Linked DNA regions of Oryzias latipes. Each later gene encodes a partner of the first gene's protein in a complex. Links are inferred from orthologs where the notes say so. Each region holds a gene or a part of one and is shown in the gene's direction. Other genes may lie near its edges.

Region 1 (3,134 bases):
TTAGTCCCAGCTGTCCAGAGGAGGGCACACCTGTAGGGGGCGCACAGGTGACCCAAACGAAACAGGAAACGCCTGACTGTCAATTCCCTTCCATTTTATGGGGGTCAGAGGCAGGATCCACCGGCAGGTGTAGGAGACAGCAGAGAGGAGGCCTACAGTCAGGAACAGGAAGAAATGTTAGAAATGAGGAAATTAGACAATCAGAGTTTAGTTTCTGTGTGGACGTCCTACAGCAGGGGTGTCCAAATCCAGGCCTGGGGGGCCGTTGTCCTGCTGGTTTTCCAGAATCCCTGCCTGATCTGCTGCTGATTACCTGGATCAGGTGTGTTTAGCCAATAAGGAGCTACAGTGGCAGGTTGGCTGGAAAACAAGTAGGACACCGGCCCCCCAGGCCTGGATTTGGGGACCTTTGTCCTACAAGCACTTGCACATCACGAGCATTTACATGTATAAATGCTGTGTACGGACCATTGATATGTCCTGTAATCGGACTTAAGGTTACCACACGGGTCAACCCCCCCATGCAGGAGCATGTGACCGAAGGCTCAGTGATGATGTCATGACAGCGTCACCCACACGGGTCAACCCCCCCATGCAGGAGCATGTGACCGAAGGCCCAGTGATGATGTCATGACAGCGTCATGACTCTGTGGCTGTTTAATTGTTTATTGGGTGAAGTTTGAAAACACTTTATTAAAGGTTGTAATCTAAAGCTGCTTTCATACTGGAGGCAGATTAAGTTACCTCTGAATACCACAGGCGGATAACCCCCCCCCCCGTCTGTCCTCAGGTACGGCATCAAGGGTCCCGTGTACCTGAGGAACAAAGAGGGCCAGGTGGTGTCGGCAGAAGCGGGCGGCAGCTGTAAGTGGCAGGGCGGCAAAGTGCGGCGGTACCCCAGCTACATCACCACCACCACGGCGGGCGGATGCAGCGCCACCTTCAGGCTAATGAGCCACATCACTGTGAGTGAGGGTCACCCACCGTGCCTGTGACGGCAGAGAAGAAACCGCACTCAGAACCTCCACCCAGTGTTTGGGTCTAAAAAGACCCAAACACTGGCTGCTGACCCGAAGCAGCAAGTCTGCTCCATGAAGAGGAGCCTGGGGGTCAAGCCCTAGTTTAACACCCCCCCCACACACACACACACACACAGTACTTTTGTCATTGCTAGGAACAGCCACAGACCGTATATGAGGACTGGACTGAGTGGCCTCTCCTCCAAACAGGAAGTGGTTCCAAGTTTCTACAGAGAAACAAGCAGCTGTTATTCTGTTGGTCAGCAGAACCGTTCTGGATCGGATCTTTTCTCACATCTGGATAATCCTCGTTTTTCATATTTTCATGTAGTCTAAATTATTGAAGTTATAAACTGACCAATCGGACGCCTCCATAAAAGTAGGTGGAGCTTGCCGGCCCCCACATCCAACAATCAAAGCATTGGACAGATTTCATGTAGCCCCCCTTTCGAGTGGTAGGGGCGTGGCCTTCCAACAAGCTCAGTCCTGACTGGTGAGAGTGGTTGCCATAGAAACAATGACTCAGACTGGCTCGGACCAATCACTGCTCACTGATGAAGTCTGGCTCCATCATGGTGGAAAACTGGCGACTGGATTGACGTCGTGTGTTTGGAGCCGGCAGTGAAACCAGCCGTCAGCCAATGGGAAGAGCCGCTGAGGGAAGCAGACGCTCCTTTGGAGACTTGGACCTGAGCTTGAAGGTCAACATGTCCTCCTACCGACCTGCAGTCATAGCTGCTCACGGACAAACACACCTGACCCAGGTCCCAGCAGCAGGTAGGGCTGAAGCGGGAGGCCGGGGGCCCTCAAGGGGCCCTCCAGGCTCCCGCTCCAGCTGGTGGAACATGGTTGTTCTGGGTCAGCTGGTGGCTCTCTACAACTTTTAGAAGAGCCCCATTTTTAGTCGACTAAAACAGAGGTAGACTCCAAAGGTCAAAAGGTCACTAGAGTTTTAAATGAGTTGACTGCTGCTCAGCAGCTGATGAAGCCCCTGTAACCATGGAAACGCATCTCCTTTCCCTGCAGGTCCGTATTTCGGTCCGGTCCTCCAGCTGCCACTCCGACACTCTGGTCCTGGAGGTCATCAGCAATCAGCCCCACCGCGGCTCCGGGCCCCCGGCCTCGCAGGGCCACCGGCAGCTGGTCCAGGAGGTGGTCCGGCTGGCTGAGAGCGCCCAGCAGACGGCGGCGCCCACGCACAAACTGTCCCGGCAGGAGCGGGACTTCCTGCAGAGCAGAACTCCAAACCTGTACTCCATCCTGGAGGAGATTCGTGAGCTGGCCCTGATGGACCTGGACGCTCTGTCCCAAGCCTCTGAGCAGACGGTTCTGACGGTCCCTGACCCGTTACCATGACGTCACAGACAACCGGTTTTTAACGGATTTTTATGATGAGACATGTAAAAGCATTAAAACTGGATTTAGAATAAACGTGTTTTTATCTGACGTCAGACTTTTTCAGAACCTCTTTTGGGACCGACAGAAGTTCTCCCCGCCGGCCTGGATCCATGTCATCCTCACACATAAGAGCCTGGAGAAGCTTTTACTGGTTGACGTGTGCTGATGGTTTCTGCAGCAGCAACCAGACACAACCACGTTGGGGGGGGCTCCGGGTCCTTCCATCTTCTAGCAGCCTTGGTCTTGGAACCAGCTACAGGAGGAGAATGGGCTTCAGCCAGAACGGGCCCATCACAGAACCCACCCGGGATTCAAACTAGGACCTTCTGTCAATTCAGTTTGATTTCTATGGCCCAATATTAACATTAGTCGCCTCCAAGGGCTTCGTACCGGTAACTTTTTAACCCTTGTGCTATCCCATGGGGTCCAGATGACCCCCCCCTCCCTTCCATTGAGGTGTTCTCCCTACTATGACAAAGGTGGATAAAGGTGGAAAGATTTTATGTAATCCATGGACACCAGTGAAGATCACAAATCATTGAAGAAAAAAGGTTCAGAGCACTGTCTAGTGGGTCTAGATGACCCAACTGTCTAGTGGGTCTAGATGACCCAACTGTCTAGTGGGTCTAGATGACCCAACTCCCAACGTTAACGTGCCTAGGATAGAACAAGGGCTAGTGGGTCTAGATGACCCCACTCCCAATGGTAAAGTGTCAA
Region 2 (3,825 bases), on another chromosome or scaffold:
TTAGAATGGTAGGAAATGTCAAGAGCTTAACCTTCACAATTCTTTATTTGTGCTTTGGCAGAATAATAATTTATTGCTTCTTATTCCAGTATTTACCTTCCACCGATGTGCATGTCAACAAGAATGCCAAGTTTGACCCATCCTCCAAAATATTTGAGGTACCTGAAGAGCTTTTTTGTGAAATATATTGACCGCTGTTGTTTTTAATGTGCTTTGCTTACTTTGGCACCCTGACAGATCAGCAAAAGGTGGAAACTGCAGAGCATTGAACAGCAGCAAAAAGAGTTAGAGGCTAAGCAAAAAGCCAAAGAGGAAGCAAAGCAACAGGCAAAGAAAGCCTCAGGTAATTGGCTTTTCTTTTCTACACATTACCTTTTCAAGCATTGTTTCCTCACTTTTTATCTGTTGAATTCTCTCAGAGAAAAGAACGAAGACTAAACAAAGCTACCAGGAGTCTCTTCAGAATGTTGCCACTGTGCGTCAGCAGGCAGCAGTAAGTCTTTTTACATTTCCTCGTTTCTCCGTTCATTTTGTTCTTTTGAACTTCAGACAAGCACCTCAGGTCTGTGTTGGAAGGCATGGCATATTCTTTTAGCTGGATTCACTCAAGGGCCCGCAACAGCGTTGAAAGGACAGTAGGTTTATGACTACTTTAACTCTGTGTGATACTTTATATTTTCCCAAGACAGTGAGTCCCCATCAGATGAACGGGTCTGCAGAAACACAGAATGGGGGCCATGTTAAATATTCTATCCTATAGAGGAGGAAAAATGTACAGCATGTGGGCTGGGTGTTATAAAAGTGTCTCAGATTCATTGGACACATTTTTGTTCCTCTTGAGTAACAAAGCCTCTTTTCTAGGAACTAGCAGCCTCCTGCTGCTAGTTCCATTCCTCAGGGGGTATTACTTGGCTTCCTTTTAGTTAGTTACTCGCACCCCCGCTGTCATATTAAACTTTTCTGATTTCTTTTCTTTCCAGTTTAACACTTCAGTTAAGCCTTTTACCACAGAGCAAAGCTTTTTGTCCAACTGCTACAGATAATCCTGGTGGTCATAAATCAGAAAATTTGGCAGCTGCACTTGAATGTCACAGGTGTTACTGTCCAGACCAGTGTTTTTCAACCAGTGTGCCGTGGGAGATGGTCAGGTGTGCCGTGGGAAACTACCCATTAACTGATCTAAAAACATTTCCCATCTCCAGGATATCAGCTCTGTGTTCATCCAAACAGGCCCTGATAAAACTGAGTAGTTAGGAATGTGAAAGATCGTAAAAGACTTTTACTTTGTGTTTATTTGATTCTTTTAAAGACATTTTGCTAAGAATGACGGTACCGTGATTTAGCCGTAGCTTCAGCTCTGTTTTCGGAAAAGTCCCACCCCTTTAACTGTCTCCACCAATCATTCTTGGAGGCTTAATCATACGTCATCAGTCTGACCAATCAGAAGTGGTTAAAGTCCAGACTTCCTTGTCCCGATTTAGCTCATAAAGTCTCTCAGTTCCAACAAAAATACCAGCTAAAGCTCATCTTAAGCGGTGTAGCTTTCTGCACGATCTGCTGTCAGACCGTGGAGCAAGTGAACAAAACAATGAAGCTCAGAGAGTGTCTGCGATCGGCGTCTGTTTCACACTACACCTCCCATGATGCATTGGGTTAAAGTGACAGCGTCTCAGTGAGTCCTCCCTGTTAAACGTCTTGAAACCACAACGAACCCACATCAAACCGTTTTTAAATCTTCTTGATGAAATCAGAGGTCAACAGTTTAGTTCTCCTTCAAGGTTTGTGTTTATTAACATCCAAACATCCCAGAGTTTGGTCCAAGTCATCTTTCTAACTGAAACACTTTTCTAATGAGGTCTGGATTATTTTATATGTCATTCTTTCTAAATCACTATTTAGAAAGAATATATTTCGTTTTTTGTGGGGTTAATTAAAATTGCATGTCAGTAAACTGAAGGGAAAAACAACTACCAGGGTAAATTTTCAAATAATTTAGTTCAAAATAATTACTGAAAACTAACTTAACTTTTATTACATCTTTTAGAAGAAACAGCTGCAACTTCCAGCTTTTTCTGCCACAATTATCACAACAGTGCATATGAGATTGCAGAGAAACTGTACATCAAACAGACTATAGAGTTTCTCCATTTTTCAATTTTGGATGCTGGTGTGCCGCGGGATTTTTTGTCAAGGATAAAGTGTGCCTTTGCTCGAAAAAGTTGAAAAATACTGGTCCAGACACACACTCACTTCCGTCTGCGGCAGCGTTCAGTAAGGATGCATCGATTCACTTTCCCAAAGGTTCAAACCTCGATTTTTAAATTGCAGTTTTTTTTCGGTGTGATATAAACTAAAACTCAGAAAAAACCTTCGTTTGATTTGCTAATAAGTCACCTGACATGGGTAAAAAAAAATATTTTTTTTCCCACAAAATAATAATTTGTTCCCACACAGTAGGAATTTGTTCCCACAAAATATTTAAATATTTTACTTCAAATCTCGTAATGTTATTTTTTTTGTTTTTGTGACACTAAAACTCTGTTGAAGCCTGAAAGTTTGATGAACACAGAGCTGATGTCATTGCAATAGTGAATGCTTTTTACACTGATTTAGGTGAAATTAGATAACTTCCCATTGCATACATGATGATCTTTCATGGCATACATGTGTACCGCGGCACACTGGCTGAAAAACACTCATCTAGGAAACCAAAGAAGGGCCATAGCCGATGACGTATGTGATGGACGCCAGCAGAAGACGGGACCAATTTTATTTAGTGCTTTCAAGAATACCTGTGTCCTAAAAGAGAAAGAAGTGTAGATGATTTAGTTAAAAAAACAAGCCAAAATAAGAACAGAATGGAAGGTTGACCAACATTATGAAAAAACATGGATGCAGCCGACTCGGCTGTACAGATTGTCTGAATCACCGGCTCCCTTGTCAAGGCTACCTAATTAAAACTACCCAAAAGAACCAATAAAGCTTGTAAATTATAACAACCAGGGTACATACAGTGTGCCACCTGTCAGCCACTTGCAAATATTGGCTGTTAGCACACTAGTACTTTCAGCTAGCACCTCTTTGCCGTTCGGCTCTCATGGCTGGTTTTTCAAAAACACAGATTCACTAATAGCTCAGAAATCTGTTCACAGGCAGCACTTGTTTTGTTGTCCTTGTTGTTGGTTTTGCCACCTGTTACATGAAGGCAAACCTCAAAGGTGAGATGTAGCTCACAAAGCTTCCGAATTAGATTAGGAAGAGAATAACAGCCTGATTTTTTTTTTCCAAAACGTTTTATTCACAGTGACTGTTCTGAGTGTTTTACAGATGCACAAACGAAAATATTTTTTAAAAAATTAACCCATTACGATGAAACAAACTTGGCTAAGCAGCATTTAACAAATAAAAAAAACAAAAAAAATCAGAAAACCCGAATTCCCACCTGAAATTTGTGGTCTGGAAGAGTTTTCTAACATTTTAAATGTTTCTCTATGGTCCACTTGTGTTTTCATTTTTAGATTGTTTCTTGATTTCAACCAGAAATCCCAAACCTACAAAGTATTAAAGCATGAAAAACCACTACACTGATGTGTGTGTTTTCTCCATGAAGCAGATAAAAGATCTACAAAATGTATACATTTTATTGCATCACCCTTGAGCTTGTGTTTATCAGGCTTTGATTACGGTAATGCAGGAGCACAAGACACATTTGTAGGTTATTTACAGAACCGTAAATTGGCTTTTATGGACTCTGGATATAAAAGCATGCAACAAAATAAAAAGAGTTAAAATCCCGGCTAGGACCTTTCTGTGTGGAGTTTGCAT

Evidence for each region.
Region 2: dis3l (region 1) and exosc10 share a complex: the UniProt entries of both Homo sapiens proteins name them as parts of the RNA exosome complex. The link is inferred for Oryzias latipes from reciprocal best matches to the Homo sapiens genes DIS3L and EXOSC10.

What each region holds. Positions count from the first base shown.
Region 1 is NC_019861.2:597,869-601,002, forward strand, and holds the end of dis3l (DIS3-like exonuclease 1), read left to right. Parts: intron 1-790; coding exon 791-965; intron 966-2,045; coding exon 2,046-2,375; 3' UTR 2,376-2,465; downstream 2,466-3,134. UniProt on the Homo sapiens protein: Catalytic component of the RNA exosome complex which has 3'->5' exoribonuclease activity and participates in a multitude of cellular RNA processing and degradation events.
Region 2 is NC_019865.2:9,473,450-9,477,274, forward strand, and holds part of exosc10 (exosome component 10), read left to right. Parts: coding exon 1-8; intron 9-89; coding exon 90-158; intron 159-237; coding exon 238-343; intron 344-419; coding exon 420-493; intron 494-3,825. UniProt on the Homo sapiens protein: Catalytic component of the RNA exosome complex which has 3'->5' exoribonuclease activity and participates in a multitude of cellular RNA processing and degradation events.